Oryctolagus cuniculus: one gene and its partners. The protein of the gene in region 1 purifies or fractionates together with the protein of each later gene. This does not show direct contact. Links are inferred from orthologs where the notes say so. Each region holds a gene or a part of one and is shown in the gene's direction. Other genes may lie near its edges. The genes, in order: AAR2, TSSC4, EFTUD2, DDX23, SNRNP200, ZNHIT2 and PRPF6.

Region 1 (3,963 bases):
CATACATGATCCAACTCCTCCCCAGATGCAGAATTTAGTATTATGATGACAAAAGTGCAGCTTGACCATGAAGCTCTGATTAAAACTGGTTTCTTTTTTAAAAGTTGTATTTATTTTCACTTTATCTTTTTTTAAAGATTTATTTATTTGAAAGAGTTATAGAAAGGCAGAGGCAGAGAGAGAGAGAGAGAGAGAGAGGTCTTCCATCCACTGGTTCACTCCCAAGATGGCCACAATGGCTAGAGCTGGGCCGACTAAAGCCAGAAGCCAGGAGCTTCTTCCTGGTCTCCCACATGGGTGCAGGGGCCCAAGGACTTGGGCCATCTTCTACTGCTTTCCCGGGCCACAGCAGAGAGCTGGACTGGAAGAGGGGCAGCCGGGACTAGAACCGGTGTCTGTCTGGGATGCCGGTGCCGCAGGTGGAGGACTAACCCACTGTGCCATGGCGCCGGCCCCTCCCAAGTGGTGTCTTAACCACGGCGCCAAAAGCCTGTTCCTGAATTTATTTTTCATTGAGAGATACCAAGAGAAAGACACACACATGCACACAGAGACAGACAGAGCTCGCACCCGCTGGTTCACTTCCCAAATGCCCGCGGCAGCCAGAGCTGGGTCAGGCCAAAGCCAGGAGCCAGGAACTCCATCCAGGTCTCCCTGTGAGGTGGCAGGGACCCAAGCACTTGAGCCCTCACCTGCTGCCTCCAAGGAGGAGCATCAGCAGGAAGCTGTCAGACGTCAAGGGCTGGAATTCGACACAGGCACTCTGGTTTGGTACATGGTTGTCCCAGACAGCTTCTTAACCACCATGCCACAACACCCACCACCCACCCCCCAGACGGGCTTCTCGCAGCTTGAACTGCGCCTTGTCTGTGGTGGTCTGGTCCCCTCCGAGTGCTGTGTCCCAAGACAAGCTCTCCTGGAACATCCTCTAAAAACAAGCTCCAGAAAGTTCAGGTTCTCTGATGGCTGTTCCCGCGCCCCGCCTCCCTTTTTCAGCTAAATCCTACAGTCCTGGTTACCAAAGCAAAGGACTAGGCAAAGGACTAACTAGGTTCGTGGATTTGTCCTGGGAAGGGGATAGAAAATGTACAGCTTCAGGAAAATTGTTTTCCAAGATGCAAGAGCTAAAAAAGGAGAAAGTACGAGCCACAGAAGACAACTTTCGACCGCACGGAACCTGTAGGCCCGGGCCGTTCTTCCCGCGACCGAGGACTCCAGGGGGCCGCTTTCTCGGTCGCGCCCAACCGGCGCCCCAGCGGGAGAACTTCCGGTGCGTTTCCGCGGTACCCGAGGTTGCGGGCGGTGAGTGCGGCCTTCTGTCCTCTTTTTTTCCTCCTGTGATTTTGTGCCTGTGGCCAGCGCGCCTGTCTTCTCGGCTCGGAACCGCGGCACGTCCTGCGCTGGTTCCCCCTCGCCGGTGTGGGCCTCGCGAGGCCCTCCTGAGACGCCGCCGCCGGGGCGCCAGGCGCCCGCTGCGTGGCTTCCCCGAACCCAGCCGCTGATTCGGGCTGCACAGTGAATCGGCTGTAGTAGGCTGAGCGTCTAGCGAACGCCGGGGTGCAGACAGCCGCGAGCGTCGTGCGGGCGAGGAAGCTCCCCTGGGGAGGCGAACCTGAGCCGAGGGAGGCTTCTGCCTCGCGTTGAGGGTCCGAGAGGCCCGGGTGGCCGGAGCAGAGCGCGCGCAGGGGCCCCGACGGCGCGGGCCTTGTGGGTCAGGGCCAGGATTGGGGGCTCCCCGGAGCCGGCCGGGAAGCCCCGCGGAGGGTGTTAAGTGTGGCGGCGGCGGTGGCCGTGACGGTCTGCTCAGAGACCCGGCTCTGAGACGGGTTGTTGGGGTGCAAAGTTCCTTCGCCCGGCACCAGCTCTGGGCCAGGCCGTGTGCCAGCCGCTGCTGGGGCTCCAGGAGGCCGCGCGGGGGCAGGGAAGCCGGCTGAGGCGCACTGGTCCTGCGCATTCGGGCTAGGGGTAGGGAAGGCGAACGTACGAATTATTCGGAACAGCGGCTGTCAAGCTTCTTGACTGTGACCCTGCTGTAACAAATAGATTCCGTGTCACCACCAAATAAGTGTCCACCCAGCACCTAAAGCTTTAGAAAACAGTGCTTGTCCTCACTACTCAGGACGTAGCAGTCGGACATCCTATCAGTTCTGTTCTTTTCACTTAAGAAAAGGAGTGCCGGTTGAGACCTTCTCAGTTAATTTCTTAACCCATTTTGAACTTTGAAAAAAAAAAAAGGCGGATTTGCAGAGTCCTTTCTAGTAGTGATAAAATAGCTCTTAGTGTTCTTGGAAAGGGGCTGGGCTTCCTTTCTGCGCTCTTTGAGTGTTTAAAATTGAAAGTGTGGACAGAGGGAAACCGGAGGCCGAGTTTTCTGGGGACTTGTGATGTCTTACTGGGTTGTCTGGCGACACTGGAAGCAGCGGGAGGGCATTAACTGCTACTTGCTGGGTGTTTCTTCTGGGGCCCAGTGCAGGCGCTCAGGGAGTAGGCGTTGGGTTGAGTAGGTGGGTCTCCTAGGGCTGGGAGACTAGGTAATTGATGGGTTTGAATCAGTTCCACTGCAGCCATTGGTCGAGGCAGAGGCCGCTTGTGCCTGCGGGGGTTTAGCAGCGTCTGCCCGTCCCCACGGCAGGACAGAGGCAGGTGAAGGAGGTGTAGGTGTTCTAGCGCTTTCTCTTCCCTGTACCGTCCTAGGTCAGCCCTGCCTCCCGATCCGTCCTGGAGGAATGCGGGCCCTTCAGGAGGTTGTCTCACTCCTTGGAGTTCGGGTTTTTAATGAGTGAAAGAAGGGATCTGGGGTTGAAAAGCTTCCACTCCGTCAGCCTTTTGTGAATTTTAGGTGCTGACGGGAACTCCGTGTGTCCTTGACTTAATCCTTCTCAAACCCTCTGGGACTCCGGCGACAGGTTTGAGGCAGGATTATAGTTTAAGATGATTCAGGAGTATTTGAGGATGAACCATCCAGGCTTTTTCTACCCTCATCCTCTGTTGTAAGAGAGATGGGGAGTAGATCCAAGTGGACAGCAGAAAGGACGCTGGCCTGCAGGGGGTACATGGTTGCTGACTGGGGTCCTTAAGTGCCCTGGAACATTCCACTTTTCGTTAGCTGGTGTCTCGCTAGCTGTCAAGTGAGTGCTCTTGTTTGTTAAATCAAAATGCAAAAATACCCTTCTGTCTCCTTGTTATGTTCCTTATCTGTGAGACAGATGCAGGGTGTCGTGAGGATTCGGGAGATAATCGGGTCAGGCGTCTAATCCGGTGCCTGGCGCGTGCGGAATGCCCAGCATCCTCCTTGCAACTCCTGATTCGCTCTAATGTCCTTCTCTTTCAGCTGTTCCGGAGCACAAGAGGGAAGGGGTTCCTTTCGGTCACCCGCCGCTGGCCCAATGGCTGCCATGCAGATGGATCCCGAGTTAGCCAAGTGCCTCTTCTTTGAAGGGGCCACTGTGGTCATCCTGAACATGCCCAAGGGGACAGAGTTTGGCATTGACTACAACTCCTGGGAGGTGGGGCCCAAGTTCCGGGGCGTGAAGATGATCCCACCGGGCATCCACTTCCTACACTACAGCGCTGTGGACAAGGCCAATCCCAGGGAGGTGGGCCCTCGTATGGGCTTCTTCCTCAGCCTGCAGCAGCGGGGGCTGACTGTGCTGCGCTGGAACACAGTCCGGGAAGAGGTGGACCTGTGCCCAGCCCCAGAGGCCGAAGTGGAAGCCATGAGGGCCAATCTCCAAGAGCTGGACCAGTTCCTGGGACCTTACCCCTATGCCACACTGAAGAAGTGGATCTCACTCACCTCCTTCATCAGTGAGGCCACCGTGGAGAGGCTGCAGCCTGAGAGCCGGCAGATCTGTGCCTTCTCAGACGTGCTGCCTGTGCTCGCCATGAAGCACACCAAGGACCGGGTGGGCCAGAATCTGCCCCAGTGTGGCACAGAGTGTAAAAGCTACCAGGAGGGCCTGG
Region 2 (3,970 bases), on another chromosome or scaffold:
GGGCCCTCCGGGGTGCCGCCAGGGCAGGTGGGAGCTGAGGTTGCCCTCCCCGCAGGAGGACTGCCACCAGAAGATTGACGAGCTGTTCTCGGGGAAGCTGTACCTCATCGGCATCGCGGCCATCGTGGTGGCCGTGATCATGGTGAGCGGGCAGGCGGGCGGGGGGGGGGGGGCCGCCCCGCCCCGCCGGCCCCCGCTGACCGCCCCCCTCCCGCCAGATCTTCGAGATGATTCTGAGCATGGTGCTGTGCTGCGGCATCAGGAACAGCTCCGTGTACTGAGGCCGCGCTGCCCCCGCCGCCCCCGCCGCCTGTACAGAGCCACCCCGCTCGCTCCGCACGCAGCTGCCGGCTCTCCGGGCTCTGCGTCTCCCCCGGAGCCCCTGTGGCTGACGCCGCGTGCCAGGGGCACCTGCCGAGGGGGGCCGGGCCTTCTTAATCCTGTTGCTTTCCTGCCTGTTCCGGGAGCACCTGTCCTTTCTAACGTCACCTTCAACTGTAACGCCCGCAGCTGGACACAGTCTGTAATAAAGGAGGAGACATCGGGCATGCTAACGCGCTGGCCGCCGGTCCTGGCCGGTGGGGTCTCAGTGGGTGGGGCGCTGGGGACAGAGGGGTCTGGACTGTGCCGAGCCCGCGCGGAGCGGACGGGACCAGGACCCAGGGAGCGTTCCGCGGGTGACCGCCCCTGGGGCACACCGGGCTGCGGGAGGGGGCGGCCGGGCTCCGGGCTCCCTGCGGGCAGCAGGCCCCAGGTCTGCTGAGACGTGGGTGGCCCCCCGGGCCTCAGCAGCATCTCGGAGCAGCCAGAGCAAAGGCCCCGCCTCGGCCTGGACAGCAGCCAGGGAGGACTGAGGCTGGCCCTGCGGAGGGCGGGGGCTCCTGCTGCTCCCAGCCCCTGGGGGACAGGGTTGCCTGGGAGAACTAGGTGCAGCGAGGAGTCCCCTCCACTCCCCCCGGGCCGTGCTGGCCCAGGCTGGCCTCTGGACGTGCAGGGCCTGGGGCCCCGGGGCTGCCAGGACAGGGTGGGTGTCCCAGAGGTGCCTGGGCCGTGCATGACCCGCCTGCTGTCCGCGGCTGGCCCCCCCGGGGTCCTTAGACGCCGGTCTCCCCGTGAGTGCCAGGACAGCAGGCCCCCGCAGGAGAGGGACTCAGGAGCTGGGGTCTGGCGGGCACCGAGCAGCCCCAGCAGAAACGGGGGCAAAAGGCGCTGCCCACTTGGGGCCTGGTGGCCAGCGAGAGGCCTGTCTGGGAGAGCCCGGGGCCGGACCTGCCCAGGATGGCCACGCCCAGCCCCGGCTGCCTGGGCCGCTGGGCAGCGCTCCGCGCGCCTGTCCCTGAGGGCCGGGGAACCGGAGAAACATCGTCAGAGGCTCCCGACGTCCAGCGCAGCCCACAAGCTCAGTGGCTGCCAGGCCCGCCCCGGGCATTGACGGATGGACCCGGGAAGGGGCAGCGACTTCCGCTTTCGGAAGGCCGGAAGTGCGGGCAAGGGCTTCTGCTCCACCGTGCGCGATGACGCACTTCCTGTCTACGTCGGCTGCTGTCTCCGCACCTCCCGGTAGGTGGCACTAAAACTCCGAGAGGCCTGCGCCTCGCCGTTAGTCGAGCATTCTGGGAGTGGCGGTTGGCTCCGCCCCTTCCTCCGTGTCAACGCTAGGCCTTTTCCGTTTCCGGAACCCGCTCCTGGCGCAGGGCTTGGAGGTGTAAGGAGAAGGGCGTGGGCGCATGCGCACTGGGGCACACGTCCCGTCAGGGCTCGGGAGCTGAGGCCCGGTGGCTTATGGGAGATGTAGTTCTTCGGTCGCGGAGGCCACAGTGCGCGGCTAGCGGGGGACTCGGTTTCCCAAAAGGCTGAGCGCGGCCGGCGGGGAACCCGAATGAAGGCGGCCGGCACGAGGAGCCGGTAAGTCCGGGAGGGCCCTCTGCGCGGCCGCCCTGACACGGCGAAGGTGTGCTCTGCTCCGCGGCAGAGGCGGCCGGAGGCAGCTAGAGCCGCTGCCCCTCGGCCCGGTCGCGGGATCCCGGCCTCCCCAGCCCAGGGCGCGCTCGCCGCGGTCCCTGCTGGGCCCAGCGCTCCTCCTGCGGCTGCTCCGCGGGAGGAGGTGCTGCGCCGCGCCTGGGTCGGCCCGAGGCGGGGAGCGCCGTGTGGAGGGTGCGCCCGGGCTGTCCTGCAGCCAGCCCCTCGGGAGCGCGGGTGGGGGTCGTGTCCGGGGCCGCGGGGGCGGCCTCTGCCCAGCAAGGCCGCTCGAGCTGACCCTTGAGCGCGCTCGCGAGCCCGACCCCGCCGGGGTGGCCGCGGCCCGGGCCCTGGGGCCCAGCCCTGGGCTCCGCCTCGTCCCAGGCAGCTTGCGGCCGGCCCCGCGCTCTGACGCGGGCTCTGTCCCCCGCCCCTCACCCAGCCCCGTCTGAGCAGCGGAGCCGAGGCCACCGAGGAGCCCACGCCGGGGCCACCGAGGACCTCCGTGGGCGGACGGGGGAGGTGAGAGCCGGGCCGGGGAGGGGCCCGCTGCTGCGGCCGCGTGGGCCGGCGACCCTGAGCTGCCCCCTCCCCGCGGGCTGCTTCCCCGCAGGTGCCGTGGGACGGGGCCATGGCCCAGGCGGGGGCCGAGGGGGACGCCGCGCCCCCCGACGACGCCGACTTCCCCAGCGACTCGGGCTCGGACTCGGACTCGGACCTCAGCTCTGGCGGTGCCGAGGCGGCCGCGCCGTGTGTAGACCTGCCCGCGGACTCAGAGGACTCCGAGCCCCCCTCGCCGCCCCCGGCGCCCCCCGCCCCTGCGGCCCAGCCGTTCTGCCTCCGGGGCACGAGCTCCGCCTTCTCCCGGCGCAGCCACAGCGTCTTTGACGGCCTGGAGGGGGCGGCCGGCGCCCCCAGGGGCCCGCGTGTCCCCGACTACGTGGCGCACCCGGAGCGCTGGACCAGGTACAGCCTCGAGGACGTGGCCGAGGCCAGCGAGCAGAGCAACCGGGCGGCGGCGCTGGCCTTCCTGGGCGCGCGGGGCCCGGCCGCCCCCGCCGCCTGCGCGCCCGCCTTCAACCAGGACTCCTCCAGCTGCGGGGAGGGCAGGGTGGTCTTCACCAGACCGGCCCGAGCCCGCGAGCCCAGGCCCGAGAGGAAGAGGGGCCTGGGGCAGGGCGCGCAGCCGGGCAGGGGCCTCCCGGGGACCGAGGCGGTGGAGCTGCCCCACCTGGCCGGGCCCGGGAGCCCAGAGGCCGAGGAGAGGGGCGGCACCCCCGGCGGCCTGCAGGAGGAAGACGCGTCCCCCGCGGCTGCCCACAGAGGGGCCTCGCCAGGGCCCCCCGGCCTGGACGCCGTCGGCTTCCACGGCGCCAGGAAGCGGAGCCGGGAGCACTTCCGGAACAGGGGCAGCGGCTGCGAGGGCCCAGCGGCTGAGGGGTGAGCGGGCCGGGCCGCGGCCGGGGGCCCGGGGCTCCATGGGTGACAATAAAGGTGTTGGGTGTCCTCGGGTCCTGTCTGTCGTCTCACTCCCCCTGGGCCCCCAGCCCCGCTCGGACCCTGCAGAGTGACGGCCCCAGTGTTCCGCTTCTCTGGGTTTTTGTTTGCTTTTAATTTTGAAAGATAGAGAGGTCTTGCGTGCACTGGTCCACTCCCCAGAGAGCCGCAGTGGCACAGGGGCCGTCTGCTGCTCTCCCAGCTGCAGCGGCAGGGAGTTGGGTCAGAGTGGAGCAGCCGGGACTGGAACCACACATACAGGAGGCGGCTTTACCTGCTGCGCACAGTGCCGGCCTGGAGGGGCTGAGGGGTCCCCCTGGGCTGGGGTCAGGCCACAGGAGTCCAGCATGGTGCCGGACAGGCCTGAGTGGTCCTGTAGCCGTGCCCACGCTCGCCTCTGGCTGTGCCCCACCCAGACTGTCAGGACGGGGTGCAGAGCCGGCATCTGGGGTCTTGTGCCAGGACTCCAGCCCAGCATGGGCCATGGGGGACAAAGGGTGGGTTCCCCAGGTCT
Region 3 (4,089 bases), on another chromosome or scaffold:
AGGGAGGGAGGGAGAGATCTTCTGCCTGTTGGTTCACTTCCCAAATGCCCACAGCACCAGGTCTAGGCCAGGCTGCAGCTGGGAGCCAGGAATCCAAGTAGCTGGACCTCATCTGCTGCCTCCCAGCTGTCCGAACTCCACCCGGCACTCTGATGTGGGACGTGGGTGTCCCAAGCAGCAGCTTTAACCTGCTGGAGAGTGAACCAGCAGATGGAAGAACTCCCTCTTTTCTCTGTCTCTTTGAATTTAAATAAATTGAAAATAACTAAATATTTAAAGATAATAAGTATTGTTTAAAAATGAATTTATTTTGGTGCAAAAACATTTTGAAATCCATGCAACTTAAAATAATGTTTTATTTATTTGAAATGCAGAGAGAGAGGGAAAGGGAGAGAAGGAGAGGGAGAGAAGGAGAGGGAGAGAGGGAGAGAGGGAGAGAGGGAGAGAGGGAGAGAGGGAGAGGGAGAGGGAGAGGGAGAGGGAGAGAAGGAGAGGGAGAGGGAGAGAAGGAGAGGGAGAGACAGAGAGAGAGATCCTCCATCTAGTCCTTGACTTCCCAAATCGCAGCAACAGCCAGGGCTGGGCCAGGCCGAAATCAGGAGCCTGGAACTGCATCCAGGCCTCCCACGTGGGTGCAGAGCCCAAGCACTTCAGCTTTTCCCAGGTGCACTAGCAGCGAGCTTGAGCCGAAGTGCCCACTGGACCTGCCCTCACCTGAGATGCTGGCGTTGCAGCGGCGGCCTGACTCGCTGCGCCACAACCCCTGCCTCATAGTTTTTTCATAATACACATTTTCATGCACTTTTTGGAGGCACCCTCTATCGTATGCATGGACTTGGAATATCTGCATCGAAATAAGCTTATCTTTTAACTCCATTTCCCACAAGCTTTTCAAGTGCCCGCGTACTTGTGAGACTTCTCTGGGGACACCGAGCAGTCCTGGCAGGGAAGCAGGCGGTCCGCAACTAGCTACCCACACGGACAAACCTAGCGAAGTTGAACGCCAGAACCGACTGGGCTGGCCAGGAGCTGAACTCAGGAGTCCCGGCCCCTGAGCCCTGCAGTCAGCCAATAAGTAGAACTAACCCGTCTGTCCTCCCGACCCAGCCACCCGGACCTTCACCACCGCAGTTCCCGCCTCGGTCCCCTCGCTTTCCTTGGGGACTCCCTGGTGTACTGGAACCAAACGGCGGCTCGGAGCCCACTACGCCCAGCATCCGCGGTTGCCTAGCAACTGCGCCAACGGCCTGCCCACGTGACCTGCCCGAAAGCCCCTTTAGGTGTCCTGGCGGTGCCTGACCCAGTAGTCATGTATGCTCAGGCTTCACTCTCTTTCGAGCAGCCCACGCTTGGGTATGGGATTCACAACTCCACCCGGTCGGCTCCTGTGTCTGCGGTCGGCATTCCTCAGTGCCGGTTCTCAGGCACAGGGCTGTCCTCCGTGGCAGAAACGCGGCCTCGGCGTCTGCGGGGTCCTTCTTGGCTGCGGGCGCAGGCGCTGCAGTGACGCGAGGCGGCCGCGCGGTCTCCGTCGGCGGACTTGGGGTTCTACGCTGAGCAGGGAGGAGGTGAGCTAACGGGGGTCCGTGGCGTGGGAAGGTTATCTGGGCAGGGCGGGAAGTTACAGAGCATCGTATCTGGAAGAGGCATGAGGTGCTGTCTGCCCGTTGCGGATGAGTGAGCTGAGGCCTGGAGCCGGAAGGAGCCCCCAGCCCCATCCCTGAAGTCCCGTTCCTGGGCAGGGTTGAGCTTTCACTGCCGCGTCTCCTCGCTCTCTCATCAGTGCCGCCATCACCTCTTCTCTGCCAGGCTCTTTGTCTTCATTTGGGATTCTTTTTCAGAAGTTAAAATAGCGAGGGGCTGCGGTGAGGTTCGTAACCAGCTGGTGCAACTCAGCTGTCTGTGCGTTGCTGGAGTCGTCCGATCGTGCGTTCAGCACATGCTTGCTGAGGGCCTGTTTTGTGCCAGGCGCTGTCCTAAGTGAACGAGAGACCTTGCTTAAGTTGTAGCGGGAAGAACGAACAGGATGCAAACGAGTAGATTCATGTCTTGATAGGAAAACGGTGAAAGTGAGGGTCGGAGAGCGTGAATGAGGGGCTTTTTAGTGAAAAGAGACTTTGATAAGCTAGAGGGCAAAGTTACGAATACCTCAGGCAAGAGCATTTCAGACAGAATGGCAGGTGCAGTGGCCTTGGGGCTGGGCTTGACTTGTTCCACGAACCGCTCTCTATGGAACTCTCTGCATTTGTTGGCTGGAGGTCTCGGGAGAATGAATGAGCCCAGTTTGATAGCTCTTTGGAAGTAAAAAGAGCCTTTATGCATATGAGATTTTCTCTAATAATGTACACGTAACTACCACTTTTTTTTTTTTAAGATTTATTTATTTATTTGAAAGAGTTACACACAGAGAGAAGCAGAGGCAGAGAGCAAGAGCGAGAGAGAGGGAGATCTTCCATCCACTGGTTCACTCCCCAAGTGGCCACAATGGCTGGAGCTGCACCAATCTGAAGCCAGGAGCCAGGAGTTTCTTCGGGTCTCCCACTTGGGTTCAGAAGCTCAAGGTCTTGGTCCATCTTCCGCTGCTTTCCCAGGCCATAGCAGAGAGCTGGATCAGAAGTGGAGCAGCTGGGACTCAACCTGGTGCCCATATGGGCAGTGCCGGCTTTACCACTGTGCCACAGCGCCAGCCCCGTAACTACCTCTTCTTGGGTTCTCCAATTATGTGTTTTATTTGCAATCAGCACTCAGCAAGTGGCATTGAGGGAGGTTGAGGTATTAGCTCAATGCAAGAAACATCAGTATCAAATATTCCATTCCATTTGCATTTATCCAGTTCCTGCTTACACAGGGTGCTCTAGGGCTTTGGGAGGGGAGCACAATGAGCACAGGTTCTTCTAGTCAAGAATGACCAGAGATAGATGACAGGCATTATAGCACAGTGGGTTGAGACACTGGGAAGGCCACATCCCATGTTGGTGCAGCGGTTCGAGTCCCGGTTTCTCTGCTTGTGTCCCGCTAAGGCATCCTGGGAGGTAGCAGGTTTTGGCACAGGGGCCCCTGCCACTCAGTGGGGGACCTGGATGGAGTTGCAGGGTTTTTATCTAATCCCCAATCATTTTATGCATGAGGTTTCATCACTCCATTTTCCAGTTCAGGAAATGGATGTGCAGAGGTGAAGTAAGACGTACATGGGCTGGCTTTGTGGCTTTGCAGGCAAAGCTGTCTGTGACGCCACTTCATCTCGCGGAGGCTGCTCCACTTCCGATCCAGCTCCCTGCTAATGCCCTGGGGAAAGCAGCAGAGAGAGGATGTTTTGGGACGCTGCTACCCACATGGGAGACTGGATGAAGCTCCTGGCTCCTGGCTTCAGCTTGGCCCAGCCCTGGCCATTGTGGCCATCTGGGGAGTGGATCTGCACTTGGAAGAGCCCTCTGTCTTTCTTTCTGTCCCTGTAACTCTTTCAAATAAATAAATAAATCTTTTTTTTTTTTTTTAAGTTACATAGTTGCTAGTGATGAGTTTGGGATTTGAATCTAGGTCTTCCAGCTCCAGAGGCTTGGTGTTGTGCTCCTGAACTATGGAGTTGTTGAGGGTAATTAGTGCAGTGAACCGCCATCCAGGAAAAAGCTGAACAGTGATGTAAATCCAAAAGACTGCAGCAGCATGGGGGAATAAGAAATTGAGATCTGGGTCAGCGCTGCGGCTCACTAGGCTAATCCTCCGCCTAGCGGCACCGGCACACCAGGTTCTAGTCCCGGTCGGGGCACCGGATTCTTTCCCGGTTGCCCCTCTTCCAGGCCAGCTCTCTGCTGTGGCCAGGGAGTGCAGTGGAGGATGGCCCAGGTGCTTGGGCCCTGCACCCCATGGGAGACCAGGAAAAGCACCTGGCTCCTGGCTCCTGCCATCGAATCAGCGCGGTGCGCCGGCCTCAGCGCACCGGCCGCGGCGGCCATTGGAGGGTGAACCAACGGCAAAGGAAGACCTTTCTCTCTGTCTCTCTCTCTCACTGTCCACTCTGCCTGTCAAAAAAAGAAAAAAAAAAGAAATTGAGATCTAAGAAAGCTTGAAGGAGGTAGCATTTGAATTCTT
Region 4 (3,194 bases), about 30 Mb from region 1:
ACTGCTGTACCACCTGCTGGCTTCCCTCGTTTTAGCTTGCCTCGCCTGGGTTAGGCTGCCTGCAGACATGGTCGGGTATGCCGGCTGGGGCCCAGAGCTGAGCCTCCTGTTTCCACAGACAGTCATGTTCACGGCCACCATGCCCCCAGCCGTGGAGCGTCTGGCCAGGAGCTATCTTCGGCGACCTGCTGTGGTGTACATTGGCTCTGCCGGCAAGCCCCACGAGCGGGTGGAACAGAAGGTCTTCCTCATGTCTGAGTCAGAGAAGAGGTACGGAGACAGCTGACCTGGGGGCAACCAGGTTGAGAGGGAACTTCCTGCAGGGCCGTGTCGAGGAGCTGCTCTCCAGGACGCCAAGGGCCTTGCTGATCCTCAGCTCCTGTTCTTGGGTCAGGGGCGGGCACTTCGCTGGCGTGGCTGCTGCATCACATCTCATCTTTCCTCTCGTGCCCCTTTCCCCAGGAAGAAGCTGTTGGCAATCCTGGAGCAAGGCTTTGACCCGCCCATCATCATTTTTGTCAACCAGAAGAAGGGTTGCGATGTGCTGGCCAAATCCCTGGAGAAGATGGGGGTATGTCTGGCAGGGGAGAGCAGAGGGCGGCCTGCAAAGACCACCAATGACACTAGAGGGGTCCTCAGGGCCTGGGCTTTCAGTCCCACTCAGGGCCAGAGGGACATGGAGGACCCTGTCCGTTCCAGCAGCAGCAGCCAACGCTGCCTGGGGTCTTCATCCATGAGAGATGGGCCCCGCATTCTGACAGAGTCTGGGCACGTGGAACAGAGCAAGCCAAAGCAGTGTCTGCAGATGTTTGGGAAGGGATGTGATGGTGTCAGCGGGGCAGCGTTGCTAACCATGTCCGCTATTGCTGGCGCTGGGGCTTGAAGGAAGGGTGCATCCTCGCCACCCTGCTCTTATCTCCCTGAACTTCTACCCTGATCTCCGTCTGATTCTCTCCCCAGTCCTTCTCAGCTGTCTGACTCCCTGTCTCACCCCAGATGGCTTTGTCCTTGTCCTTACCCTGTCTGTCCCCGCCGCCCCCCACTGGTGTCTGCCCCCACTTTCCTGAGCTCATCTGTTTCCTCCTCCCTCTCAGGAGCCCTTATTCTTTCCCTCTCTCCTGCCCTGCCACCCCCCGCCCCGCCCTCCCCATCTGTCTCCGTCCTTTCTTGGATGTCTTCTCATGCTCCCGTTGCTGGCTCTTCACCCCACTGTTGTCTCCCAACAGTACAATGCGTGTACATTGCATGGTGGAAAAGGCCAGGAACAGCGAGAGTTCGCTCTGTCCAACCTCAAGGCCGGTGCCAAGGATATTTTGGTGGCTACCGATGTGGCTGGTCGTGGTATCGACATCCAAGATGTATCTATGGTTGTCAACTACGATATGGCCAAAAATATTGAAGGTAAGTGGGGGAAATTAGGTAAGTGGGGGGAATTAGGACTCCTTGCCACTTCCCACGCAAAGTCACGGTGCCACCCTGGGGAGACCACTGCTGCCATCTCTCACGGCTCCAAGTCTGGAGTCACTTGTTCAGTGGGCAGAGCTCTGGCACTTTACCTTACCTGGACTTGTCCAGCCTCTGTGGTAGAGGTGTGGGGAGGGAGGAAGCTGGGCGGCTGTTGGTGTGGCCGGATGTGGTGCAGTGGTTGACCACAGCCAGCCGTGGGAACAGGGAGATGGGTACCCGTGGGAAAGCGCCACAGGTGCTTTTGGTCAGGCAGTGCAGGGCACACTCAGTGCTGGGGAGGGGGCGGCCTTAGAAGTGGAGACTGAGGGGCGCCCCTCCTGTTCCCCAGATTACATCCACCGCATCGGCCGCACTGGGCGAGCAGGCAAGAGTGGCGTGGCCATCACCTTCCTCACCAAAGAGGACTCCGCTGTGTTCTATGAGCTGAAGCAGGCCATCCTGGAAAGCCCAGTGTCTTCCTGTCCACCCGAGCTGGCCAACCACCCAGATGCCCAGCACAAGCCAGGCACCATCCTCACCAAGAAGCGCCGGGAAGAGACCATCTTTGCCTGACACAGCACTCTTCCCGTAGGCCTAAGGGCATGAGCCGAAGCTGCCGGGTGCCTCCTATCCCTCTCTCCAGACTCTTAACCCTGGGTCCTGGCAGCTTGGGTGACAGTCAGACCGCCTGGCCCAGACCTCCACTCTGGAGGCCTGAGCATGGTGTTGCAAGAGGGGAGGAAGTCACCACCGGTGTGGCCCTGCTCTGCCCCTCCGGGGGCCTTTGTGATTGTTCTGGGCTGTCCGCTCACGCCAGGTCATGGGGGCAGCAGTGGGCACTACCCATCCCTGCCCCTTGTCCTGGGTGAGAGCCTGGCTGCCTGGCTGGGCCCTCCTTTGGCACAGGTGGGACTGTGACTGGAAGCTGCAGCAGCGTCATGGCCCTAGATGACCCGGGGAGGGGGTTGGGGGGTTCTGGCACGGTGAGGACTGTGGAGCTCGGACTCTCATCTTGACAGCTGCTTCCCCACTTGGATTCTAGAGCAAGTTGAGAGCCTTTGGGACTGCATGTCCCCAGGCCCAGGGGTGCTGTGCACTCCAGGCATTCCTCCCCCAGGGAATTTTTAGTAGATGTGGGGACAGGGTGAGCTGGCTGTGTTCATCTTTAAGTCACTGAGTGAAGTTTCTGTTTTCTATTCTCTGAGAAGATGAGTTTGTATGTTCTGAGAATAAATATGGGAATATTAAGGTTGTGTCTAGTTTTAGCCGATTCTCCCTGCCACCACACAGGACAGGAGAACCGGGTCTTTGCCAGCAGTCATACGTCTACAGGTGTAGAAGCCGGGGCAAGCCGGTCTTGCCGCAGCCTCACACACATCTCAGAGCTTTTGCTTATTGGCTCTCCAGGGGCTGGGGCTACTGCTCACTGAAGAGACAGGTGCCAGAGGCATCACGGTGCTGAGCAGGGCCCAGTTGAGGGAGGTCTTGAGAGGGCTGTGGTCCCCTTCCTACCTCCCTGCCCCCCAACCATTAGTATGCTCTTCCTTAGTCCTCAGAAAGAGCTTGGCAAGTCCATGGAATTCAAGTTCCAGCTATGTCCAGGGCTTTTTTTTTGGCCTGAGGCAGGGACAGTGGAAAGCTGTGACTAAGCCTCTTCCCCACCTCGCAGAACCGGCATCTTGGAGTCCCTCCAGATACCCGGCCATGAGGTGTGGAGGGGGTGCTGGGGACTACAGTGCCTCCCCCAG
Region 5 (3,500 bases), on another chromosome or scaffold:
GTGATCCTGCATCATGAGTATTTTCTACTCAAGGCCAAGTATGCCCAGGACGAGCATCTCATTACGTTCTTCGTGCCTGTCTTTGAACCGCTGCCCCCTCAGTACTTCATCCGGGTGGTGTCTGACCGCTGGCTCTGTGAGTGTCCCCTAGGAACAGGCCCTCTGAGGACAAGAGGAGGTCTTGGACTTTGTGCCAGGCTTGCCCTTTTTTGAGAGTGATGTTTGTGCTGTCAAGGGTTTCTGCGTTCACAGGGGTGCTGGAGGGCTGTTGGGGGAAGACAGAATGCTTACTCTCCTTGCTGTTTCTTTCTGGCAGCTTGTGAGACGCAGCTGCCTGTGTCCTTCAGGCACCTGATCCTGCCAGAGAAGTACCCTCCTCCCACCGAGCTGTTGGACCTGCAGCCCTTGCCCGTGTCTGCTCTCAGAAACAGTGCCTTTGAGAGCCTTTACCAGGATAAATTTCCCTTCTTCAATCCCATCCAGACCCAAGGTGAGTGTTCTCATTCCCAGATAGTGGGTCCCCTTGGAGGCCTTTTTTCTTTTTTTTTTTTAATTAAAAAAATTACTTGAGTGATAGAGAAACAGTTAGCATCTACTGGTTCACACCCAGATGCTTCCAACAGGTGGGGCTAGGCCAGGGTTGAAGGCAGGAGCTGAGAGCACAATACAGGCCTCCCCTGTAGGGTACAGGAATCCAGGTACTGGAGTCAGCAGCTTGGAGTTGATCCCAGGCACTCCGGTGTGGGATGTGGGCATATTATCCTGTAGGCTAAGCCCCCACTCCCCTCAGAGGCATTTGAAGAGTACCTGGAAGCAGTGTGTTCTGCAGCAGGTAGGGAACCAGGTGTTCAAGTTCTTGGTAGACTTGGCAACCCAGCAGCCTGTCAGGGACCACTAGGACCCTCTGTTTCCTGAAAACTCCTTGGCCCCTGTTGGATTTGCATTGCCACTCTGCATGGAGACTGAGGTGAGAGGAGCAAGGCCTTTCCATGTGTACTGTCATTTCTTAGGCTCAGGGTGTTAGATCCTGCCCCTGATGTTCAAGCACTGCACTAGGGCATGGGGCGTTGATGGAGGCTTCCTCTATCATTATGAGTAACAGTGCGTTCACACAGCATGCACTGTGCTCTGAGTACTTGGCTGAGTACAGCACCATTGTTTTCTCTGTTAGTCCTTCTACTTGTCCTTTGAGGGGTTTACCATCTGAGCTTCTGCCATTGGGGTCCCATTTTATAAATGAGGAAATATGCATGAACAGGTACCCCGAATAAACCAGCTAATACATAATGCAACTTTGAAAGGCAGAGTCATAGAGAGGCAGAGAGAGAGAAAGAGGTGTTCCATCTGCCGGTTCACTCCCCAGAAAGCCACAATGGCTGAAGCTGGGCCAATCCGAAGTCAGGAGCCAGGAGCTTCTGGATCTCCTATGTGGGTGCAGGGGCCAAGGACTTGGGCCATCTTCCACTGCTGTCCCAGGCCATAGCAGAGAGTTGGATCAGAGGTGGAACAACCAGGACTTGAACTGGCACCCACATGGGATGCTAGCACTTCAGGCGGCAACTTCACCTACTATGCCACAGTGCCCAGTCCCATATTTTTTCTTTCTTTTTTTAAAGATTTTTTTGTTTATTTGAAAGACAGAGTTACAGAGAGGCAGAAGCAGAGAGAGAGAGAGGTCTTCCATCCAGTGGTTCACTCCCCAAATGCCTGCAATGGTTGGAGCTGGGTCGCTCCAAAGCCAGGATCCAGGAACTTCCTCCAGGTCTCCCACGTGGGTACAGGGGCCCAGGGACTTGGGCCATCTTCCACTGCTTTCCCAGGGCATAGGAGAGAGCTGAATGGGAAGTGGAGCAGCGGGGACTCAAACCAGCGCCCACATGGGATGTCAGCACTGCAGGCAATGGCTTTACCTGCTATGCCACAGTGCCAGCCCCTTAATTTAGTCTTGATGCCAGGGCATAGTCTTCCCTTCCATGTTAGACTATTTGCAGGAAATGCAGGAAAGTATTGAAGGCACAGAAGAAGCTAGCCCATTCCCTTTATTCTGCATCCTAGTCCCTGAGAAGCAAAGAAAGATGCTTGGCTTCTTTTTGCTTTGGTTGTCCCACAAATCTCCGGGGGCCTTGAAGGTTTCAGAGGACACAGCAGGCTGAGCCCGCCTTGGAGGCGCCTGCGCCATCAGCCCTTTGCACCCCACAGCTGACTGACCTCGTCCCAGTCTGTCTCCTCTCCCGCTACTCACACTACTTCTCTGTCGATCTCCAGTGTTTAACACTGTGTACAACAGTGACGACAACGTGTTTGTGGGGGCCCCCACGGGCAGTGGGAAGACCATCTGTGCGGAGTTTGCCATCCTGCGGATGCTGCTGCAGAACTCGGAGGGGCGCTGCGTCTACATTACCCCCATGGAGGCCCTGGCAGAACAGGTGTGTGGTGGGGTGCCCTGGCGGGTGCACTTCCCCAGAAGCCATGTTGTCCTGTTCCACACCATGGTTTCTAGCCCTCATATAATTAGGGTGATTTCCAGAGTTTACATTCTAAAGAGAGCCTGCCCCGCACTTCAAGGCTGGTCTGGGGTAGGAGAGCTGCATGAGCGCTGCAGAGCAAGTCTCTCTGCTTAGCTTCAGGCGTACTTTGTAATACGTTGGAAGACGCCTGGTGTGACCTAATGTTCTTCTGGCCTCCTGCATCCTGCTCTCCAGGTGTACATGGACTGGTATGAGAAGTTTCAGGACAGGCTCAACAAGAAAGTGGTGCTGCTGACAGGGGAGACCAGCACGGACCTGAAGCTGCTGGGCAAAGGCAACATCATCATCAGCACCCCTGAGAAATGGGACATCCTCTCCCGGCGGTGGAAGCAGCGCAAGAACGTCCAGAACATCCACCTCTTCGTGGTGGACGAGGTCCACCTGATCGGGGGAGAGAATGGGGTAGGCCCGGGCCTCGCGCTACGGGCGGGGCTGGGACTGACGGGATGCACTGGGCCCTGTGTTTGTATCCGAGGCTGGAGACTCAGGATTCTGCCTGCTGCCTCATTCCAAACGGCTGATGTGAGATTTCTTTGTAGAGCTCTCGGAAACCAACATGGCGTAGTGAATGTCAGCTCCTGTGGAGAAGGCGGGAGGCGGGAGAGCCCCTAGTTAGGAGGAAGACTTAGGAGGTCACTTTGAGGCTGTTGGGTGATGTACTGAGGGGCACTAGGGGCAGAGTTTGGGGAACCTGGGTCTGGAGTGACACTCCTCCCTCTTTTCCAGCCTGTCTTAGAAGTTATCTGCTCCCGTATGCGCTACATCTCCTCCCAGATCGAGCGGCCTATTCGCATTGTGGCACTTAGCTCCTCGCTCTCCAATGCTAAGGATGTGGCCCACTGGCTGGGCTGCAGTGCCACCTCCACCTTCAACTTCCACCCTAACGTGCGCCCTGTGCCGTTGGAGCTGCACATCCAGGTAGGACCCACTGTCCCCATCCTCCGTGGCCTCAGACACCCCAGCTTACCCAGG
Region 6 (2,997 bases), on another chromosome or scaffold:
CTTGGCACTGTGCAGTCACCGCCCCAGCACTGATGATGGCCCAGCAACGCCACCACGCCCAAGCTCCACCTGCCTGTGTCCTTGGCTCCCAGTGTGGAGTCCGCCATGATAATACGTGGAAGACATTTACTGCGAAGTAGAGGCAAGGGGCGGGAGGGGGGGAGCGTGGGTGCAGACGTTAGAAATGCCCCAGCGTGCACTGGGCTAGGCGGGCTGCTGCCGTCTCGCCCTTTCTTCCGCTCAGCCCCGTGCTTCCCAGTGTCCCCTGGCAGCCTGGCTGCTCCTGCAGGGCAGGAACCCATCTCCTCTCCCAAGGCTGCCCAGTTCCCTGCTTAGTGATGAATTCAGGGGCCGGCGCCATGGCATAGTGGGTAAAGCTGCCGCCTGCAGTCCTGGCATCCCCCGTGGGCGCTGGTTCGAGTCCCGGCTGCTCCACTTCCGATCCAGCTCTCTGCTATGGCCTGAGAAAGCAGCCGAAGATGGCCCAAATGCTTGGGCCCCTGTACCCGTGGGAGACCTGGAAGAAGCTCCTGACTCCTGGCTTTGGATCGGCGCAGCTCCGGCTGATGTGGCCCATTAGGGAGTGAACCAGCGGCTGGAAGACCTCTCTCTCTGCCTCTCCTCTCTCTTTGTAACTCTTTCAAATAAATAAATCTTTTAAAAAAATGATTTCAAGCCGGCGCCGTGGCTCAATAGGCTAATCCTCCACCTTGCGGCGCCGGCACACCGGGTTCTAGCCCCGGTTGGGGCGCCGGATTCTGTCCCGGTTGCCCCTCTTCCAGGCCAGCTCTCTGCTATGGCCAGGGAGTGCAGTGGAGGATAGCCCAGGTGCTTGGGCCCTGCACCCCATGGGAGACCAGGAAAAGCACCTGGATCCTGGCTCCTGCCATCGGATCAGCGCGGTGCGCCAGCTGCAGCGGCGGCCATTGGAGGGTGATCCAACGGCAAAAGGAAGACCTTTCTCTCTCTCTCTCTCTCTCTCTCACTGTCCACTCTGCCTGTCAAAAAATAAAAAAAAAAATAAAATAAAAAAATAAAAAAAATAAAAAAAAATAAAAAATGATTTCAGCCGGCACTGCTCAGTTTTGCGGTGCGACCACCAGGGGGCGGGCTGGCACAGACGGGACACTCGTGGCGCCCTAGCGCTGCAAAGGGGGCGGGGCTTCCGAGTGTGGGCGGAAGTTGCCGAGAGCCCTTGTCAGCCTGGCATGGACTAACGCTCGGAAGGCTCCGCGACGAAGCGGAAGTAACCGAGGAGGCGCCGGAAGTTGGCCCGCGGCGCGCGTGACGTCCGCGGCGCGCATGCGCTGCCAGTTGCCATGGAGCCGGCCGGGCCGTGCGGCTTCTGCCCGGTTGGGGAGACGCGGGCCGCGCGCTACACCTGCCCGCGCTGCAATGCGCCCTACTGCTCGCTGCGCTGCTATCGGGCGCACGGGCCCTGCGCCGAGGACTTCTACCGCGACCAGGTGCTGGGGGAGCTTCGCGGCCGCAGCGCCTCGCCCAGCCGCCTGGCCAGCGCCCTGCGCCGGCTGCGTGAGCAACGCGAGACCGAGGACGAGCCCGAGGTAGCAGGCCTCAGCCCGGGCCCCGCACCCGGCGGACTTTCGGGACTCTGGGAGCGGCTGGCACCTGCCGAGAAAGCGGCCTTCGAGCGGCTGCTGAGCCGCGGCGAGGCCGGGCGGCTGCTGCCTCCCTGGCGGCCGTGGTGGTGGGGGCGCGGGGACGGACCCCGGCTCGTGGAGGCGGTGGGGGACGCCGCGGAGCCCGAGCCGGATCTGGAGCCGGAGCCCGCCCGCCCGCCCGCCGTGCCCGCCCGCATCCCCGCGCTGGCCAGCCTGAGCCGCAGCCCGGCCTCGCCGCTCGTGCGCTTCCAGCTGCCCAACGTGCTGTTCGCCTACGCGCACGCCCTGGCCCTGTACCACGGCGGCGGCGACGACGCGCTGCTCCCCGACTTCTGCGCCACGCTGCTCGGCGTTTCCGGAGCGCTGGGCGCCCAGCGAGTCTTCGCCTCTAGCGAGGAGGCCCTGCAGGCCGCAGCCCACGTCCTGGAAGCCGGCGAGCACCCGCCCGGGCCCCTGGGGACGCGGGGCGCCATGCGAGAGGCCGGCCGCATCCTGCTGGGCCGGGGCCCCGCCGACCCCAAAGGCTACACGCTGGCCGCGCTGGGGCACCTGGCTCGGACCCTCGGCCGTGCCCGGAAACAGACCGCGGCTGGCGAAGACCGAGATCGCCTCTACCGCGCCCGGAAAAAGTGCCAGTACCTGCTGGCCTGGGCCAACGAGAACGAGGCGGCCCTCGGGCCCCTGGCTGTGGACTGCGCCAGGGCGCACGGCGCGCACGCGGCGGCCGCGGAGGAGGTGGCCGCCCTGGCCGGGGAGCTGGAGCGGCTGTGGGGCGGCCCTGTGCCCCCCGCCCCACCTGCCCCAGGGGCTCTCATTGAAGAGCTCCCTGGCTGACCTGGGGGGCTTGGCCTCAATAAAGCGGAGATTGGCCCTGCCCGGAGTGACAGCTCAGTTGTCCCGCCCAGCCCCGGGCTCTCGGGCCCACGGCGTGTCCCAGCCTTGCCCTGCCCCAGAATGGAACGGAAGCGGGCGGCGACTTGGAGCCGTTTATGCAGGGGAGGAGGGGTCTCCGCCGGGGCGCGGGCGCTCAGTAGACGTAGGGCACGATGCGGTGCGGCACGCGCCGGCAGTACTCCAGCCACGCGCGGCCGTACTTCTGCAGGCACTGCCGCTCGTCGCGGGCCTCCCGGTGCACCAGCAGCGCCGTGAAGTAGATGATGTAGAAGTAGGGCAGCAGGTGCGACAGCCCTGCGGGGAGGGGCCGCAAGGGTCTCCACGCTGTCCGGCCGGGCGGGGGAGGCCCAGGGCCAGCGGGGGCCGCCCCTCCGCCGGGGCACTCACCGCAGGGCAGGGACCAGGCCAGGGCCATGAGGAGGTCCCCGAGGTAGTTGGGGTGGCGGACCATCCCCCACCACCCAGACACCAGCAGCCTCCG
Region 7 (3,500 bases), about 22 Mb from region 1:
CGCTGGGTGTGGGGGTTGGGCCTTTTACTGCTTTAATAAAATAAAAAGTTAAGCAATGAATTTTAATTTTGAAATAAATAAGCTTGCATGAAGTTGGAAAAATAATACCAAAAACAGTTCAAGAAAAAAGATTCCTATGTTCCTGTATACTCTTCACGAAGCTTTCCCCATCTTTTTTTTTTTTTTCCTTAGATTTTATTTACGTATTTGAGAGGCAGAGTTACAAAAAAAGGGAGAAACACAGAGAGAGCTCTTCTATCCTGGTTCATGCCCCAAATGGCCACAGCGGCTGGAGCTGGGCCAATCTGAAGCCAGGAGCTTCTTCCAGGTCTCCCACGCAGGGGCAGGGGCCCAAGGACTTGGGCCATCTTCTGCTTTGCAAGGCCTTAGCAGGGAGCTGGATCGGAAGTGGGGCAGCCAGGACACAAACCGGCGTCCACATGGGGTGCTGGTGCCACAGGCGGAGGCTTAGCCGAGTACACCCCAGCGCTCATCTTTCTGACCTTGCGACACTTACCAAAACCTGGAAATTAACGGTGACACGTTGTTATTGTCCATGTGATTGATTGGATTGAGAGCAGGCTGGTGGTTCCGTTTGTTCACTCTGTCCACTGTGGGAGCCGGGACTCAGTCCAGGTGACGGCGCAGAGACGTGAGCGTCAGCGCTGCTTCCAGGGCCGCGGCGCTGAGGGTCACTGCCAGGTGTGCCGGCTCTGCAGGTGGCTGCCCCTGCTGGGCGTCACTCGTGACTGCTGATCTGGCTGGGGTTTCACCAGTGCTCCCATCAAGGAGGGCCTGGTCTGGGACCCTCGCTCTTTACCCTTCCAGGCTCTTCCAACCCGGGTGGCTGCTCTGTCTCAGGCCCCTGGCACCCTCCGGTTGGGTGTGTGCAGGAGCTCTGTGAGAGGGGTCCTGTGGGGGTGTGGCCCCTCTGAGTGTGCTGTTTGGTCCTCAGTTCAACGGCTATGCCGGCAGCCTCTTCTCCAGCGGGCCCTACGAGAAGGACGATGAGGAGGCGGACGCCATCTACGCAGCGCTGGACAAGAGGATGGACGAGAGGAGGAAGGAGAGAAGGTACCGGGCCGACGCTCACGCCGACACACACACACACACACTTCCTCTACTGGCTCAGGCTTGTAGAAAAGCTGCAGGAACCGTGGCAGCTGCTCCTCCCGGAGCTCTGTGGTGCGTGGCCACTACACGTGGATGTGTTGGGCCACGGGGGAGAGCGCACTGCTGGCTGTGCAGGGGTCAGCAGGACTTGGAGGCTTGCTTTGTGCGTCAGCATTGCCCCCTTTCAAGTGGATGCAGTGATGGGGACTAACTTGTGTGAAGTTGAACTTGGAAGTGGCTGGTGGTAGAGTGGGTTAGGGAGCTCAGGCCAGGCCGGCCCGCGAGCACGTGTCCTCGGCGTCCTGCTGCACACCAGGGGCCCTCTGCCAGGTGCTCGAGCTGTCCCTGCTCCGCCAGCCGGGGCTGCTGGCCGGCACGTCCCGGGAGGAAGCACAGTAAACTCTGCTGCTTTGCAAGCTGCTGACTTTTTTATTATAAAGAAAACACATTTACGTCATAGCATGATAGGAAACCAAGGTTGAGAATAGGAAAGAGTGTGACGTTTCTTCACAAGCTCAGAGAAGTAACAGTGGAGGGAGGGAGGGCGGGGAGGGAGGGGGAGGGAGGGACGATCAGTGTGTTCCTAGACTTGTATCTGCCAGGGGCCTGGGCACCCTCCACTTCTGATCCAGCTCCCTGCTGATGTCCCTGGGAAAGCAGTGGAAAATGGCCCAAGTCCTTAGGCCCCTGCACCCGTGTGGGAGACCCGGAAGAAGCTCCTGCCTCAGCCTGGCTCAGCGCCGGTTGTTGTGGCCCTTTGGGGAATGAACCACTGGATGGAAAATCTTGCTCTATCTCACTTTCTGTAACTCTTTCAAATAAATAAGTCTTTAAAAAAAACATTTCTTAAGAAAAAGAATTATATTTGCAAATCACATTGAATCTGTTAAAAACTAAAAATTAAAGAAGAAAAAGTAACAGTTAATCTCTTGGTTCATTTTCTTTTTTGTATTGCTGTTGATACGTACAATTTTTAAAAAAAGATTTATTTTATTTGAAAGGCAGAGAGACTAGAAAGAGGTCTTCCATCTGCTGGTTCACTCCCCAGATGGCTGCAACAGCCGGAGCTGGGCTGATGCAAAGCTGGGAGCCAGGCGCTCCACGCAGGTCTTCTATGTGGGTACAGGGGCCCAAGTACGTGAGCCGTCACCCACTGCCCTCCGTCTCTAGCAGGGGACTTGAACTGGTGCTGTGACATGGGGTGGGGGGCTTATAACTGGTAATTTTGTAACTTCCCCTAACATACATATATATGTATATATATGTATATGTATATAAAACTTCTAATTTTTTTCAAAATAACTTTAGGAGAATGAAGTTGAATTTTGTGGAGTTTTTGAAAACTTGTTTTTAAATCAGGGCGTGTGAATAGTAATTAGGTGTAAATGGTTTTGCATTCATTGATTTGATTCCAGTACTTTGACATTAATTCGTTTTAAACACAGTGACATGGACACATCTAGAAAGTCATAGTAAAAAGTGGTGGCTTTTTTTTTTTTTTTTTTTTTTTTTTTTTGACAGAGTGGACAGTGAGAGAGACAGAGAGAAAGGTCTTCCTTTGCCGTTGGTTCACCCTCCAATGGCCGCCGCGGCCAGCGCGCTGCGGCTGGCGCACCACGCTGATCTGATGGCAGGAGCCAGGTACTTCTCCTGGTCTCCCATGGGGTGCAGGGCCCAAGCGCTTGGGCCATCCTCCACTGCACTCCCTGGCCACAGCAGAGAGCTGGCCTGGAAGAGGGGCAACCGGGACAGAATCTGGCACCCTGACCGGGACTAGAGCCCGGTGTGCCGGTGCCGCTAGGCGGAGGATTAGCCTAGTGAGCCGTGGTGCCGGCCCAAAGTGGTGGCTTTTAAAACCCTTTTATCCTGGAGGCTTCCATGACAGAACAGCGGGAAGAAGGAACAGCAGTACACGCCGCAGTCCCCGTGCTACCTCACAGTTTGCACGTTGCTTCGCTGTGGTTGGGGCTGTGTTTCTGGCTGGGTCGAGGGCCCTGTAGAGGGCACCGGATGTGCTGCAGGGTGCGAGGACACAGTGCTTGTGGGGCCTGGCCTAGCGCCTGGTATCACTGCCCCATCACTGGCCCGAGCTCCCTGACCACACCACCACCCCCTGCAGGTCCACAGGCTCATTTGCCGTCTTCCATGGGCACAGTGGCTTTGCGACACTTCACAGCACTAAGCCCAGCCCCGTCACCCGACAGCCAGCGCTCAGGGCAGAGCACATCCAGGTCGCACCTCACGTCCACTGTGCACACGCATCATGGCGAATTCCCCCTTCTGCCTTTCACTTTCTTGTGACAGTGACGCTGATTAAAAAAAAAAAAAAAAGGTTTATGTATTTGAAAGGCAGAGTTACAGGGGAGGGACTGGGTGAGAGAGATCTT

Evidence for each region.
Region 2: the proteins of AAR2 (region 1) and TSSC4 purify together in Homo sapiens (affinity purification with mass spectrometry; 3 studies listed by BioGRID and IntAct, counting the BioPlex papers as one, with this or other methods). This does not show direct contact. The link is inferred for Oryctolagus cuniculus from reciprocal best matches to the Homo sapiens genes AAR2 and TSSC4.
Region 3: the proteins of AAR2 (region 1) and EFTUD2 purify together in Homo sapiens (affinity purification with mass spectrometry; 5 studies listed by BioGRID and IntAct, counting the BioPlex papers as one, with this or other methods). This does not show direct contact. The link is inferred for Oryctolagus cuniculus from reciprocal best matches to the Homo sapiens genes AAR2 and EFTUD2.
Region 4: the proteins of AAR2 (region 1) and DDX23 purify together in Homo sapiens (affinity purification with mass spectrometry; 3 studies listed by BioGRID and IntAct, counting the BioPlex papers as one, with this or other methods). This does not show direct contact. The link is inferred for Oryctolagus cuniculus from reciprocal best matches to the Homo sapiens genes AAR2 and DDX23.
Region 5: the proteins of AAR2 (region 1) and SNRNP200 purify together in Homo sapiens (affinity purification with mass spectrometry; 5 studies listed by BioGRID and IntAct, counting the BioPlex papers as one, with this or other methods). This does not show direct contact. The link is inferred for Oryctolagus cuniculus from reciprocal best matches to the Homo sapiens genes AAR2 and SNRNP200.
Region 6: the proteins of AAR2 (region 1) and ZNHIT2 purify together in Homo sapiens (affinity purification with mass spectrometry; 3 studies listed by BioGRID and IntAct, counting the BioPlex papers as one, with this or other methods). This does not show direct contact. The link is inferred for Oryctolagus cuniculus from reciprocal best matches to the Homo sapiens genes AAR2 and ZNHIT2.
Region 7: the proteins of AAR2 (region 1) and PRPF6 purify together in Homo sapiens (affinity purification with mass spectrometry; 3 studies listed by BioGRID and IntAct, with this or other methods). This does not show direct contact. The link is inferred for Oryctolagus cuniculus from reciprocal best matches to the Homo sapiens genes AAR2 and PRPF6.

Annotation. Positions count from the first base shown.
Region 1 is NC_091442.1:22,049,644-22,053,606, reverse strand, and holds the start of AAR2 (protein AAR2 homolog), read left to right. Parts: upstream 1-1,163; 5' UTR 1,164-1,302; intron 1,303-2,227; exon of another isoform or gene 2,228-3,128; intron 3,129-3,331; 5' UTR 3,332-3,386; coding exon 3,387-3,963. UniProt on the Homo sapiens protein: Component of the U5 snRNP complex that is required for spliceosome assembly and for pre-mRNA splicing.
Region 2 is NC_091432.1:1,159,017-1,162,986, reverse strand, and holds TSSC4 (U5 small nuclear ribonucleoprotein TSSC4), read left to right. Parts: upstream 1-1,428; 5' UTR 1,429-1,514; coding exon 1,515-1,560; exon of another isoform or gene 1,561-2,401; coding exon 2,402-2,481; exon of another isoform or gene 2,482-2,572; coding exon 2,573-3,403; 3' UTR 3,404-3,470; downstream 3,471-3,970. Other genes in the region: CD81 antigen, read left to right, coding at 56-142, 219-281. UniProt on the Homo sapiens protein: Protein associated with the U5 snRNP, during its maturation and its post-splicing recycling and which is required for spliceosomal tri-snRNP complex assembly in the nucleus.
Region 3 is NC_091448.1:18,150,324-18,154,412, reverse strand, and holds the start of EFTUD2 (116 kDa U5 small nuclear ribonucleoprotein component), read left to right. Parts: upstream 1-1,289; 5' UTR 1,290-1,568; intron 1,569-4,089. UniProt on the Homo sapiens protein: Required for pre-mRNA splicing as component of the spliceosome, including pre-catalytic, catalytic and post-catalytic spliceosomal complexes. Component of the U5 snRNP and the U4/U6-U5 tri-snRNP complex, a building block of the spliceosome.
Region 4 is NC_091442.1:52,315,082-52,318,275, reverse strand, and holds the end of DDX23 (probable ATP-dependent RNA helicase DDX23), read left to right. Parts: intron 1-118; coding exon 119-270; intron 271-462; coding exon 463-571; intron 572-1,226; coding exon 1,227-1,401; intron 1,402-1,795; coding exon 1,796-2,019; 3' UTR 2,020-2,694; downstream 2,695-3,194. UniProt on the Homo sapiens protein: Involved in pre-mRNA splicing and its phosphorylated form (by SRPK2) is required for spliceosomal B complex formation.
Region 5 is NC_091433.1:111,297,021-111,300,520, forward strand, and holds part of SNRNP200 (U5 small nuclear ribonucleoprotein 200 kDa helicase), read left to right. Parts: coding exon 1-136; intron 137-316; coding exon 317-490; intron 491-2,265; coding exon 2,266-2,426; intron 2,427-2,702; coding exon 2,703-2,930; intron 2,931-3,254; coding exon 3,255-3,446; intron 3,447-3,500. UniProt on the Homo sapiens protein: Catalyzes the ATP-dependent unwinding of U4/U6 RNA duplices, an essential step in the assembly of a catalytically active spliceosome. Plays a role in pre-mRNA splicing as a core component of precatalytic, catalytic and postcatalytic spliceosomal complexes.
Region 6 is NC_091432.1:6,442,772-6,445,768, forward strand, and holds ZNHIT2 (zinc finger HIT domain-containing protein 2), read left to right. Parts: upstream 1-1,285; 5' UTR 1,286-1,319; coding exon 1,320-2,456; 3' UTR 2,457-2,497; downstream 2,498-2,997. Other genes in the region: delta(14)-sterol reductase TM7SF2, read right to left, coding at 2,650-2,810, 2,904-2,997. UniProt on the Homo sapiens protein: May act as a bridging factor mediating the interaction between the R2TP/Prefoldin-like (R2TP/PFDL) complex and U5 small nuclear ribonucleoprotein (U5 snRNP).
Region 7 is NC_091442.1:197,902-201,401, reverse strand, and holds part of PRPF6 (pre-mRNA-processing factor 6), read left to right. Parts: intron 1-955; coding exon 956-1,074; intron 1,075-3,500. UniProt on the Homo sapiens protein: Involved in pre-mRNA splicing as component of the U4/U6-U5 tri-snRNP complex, one of the building blocks of the spliceosome.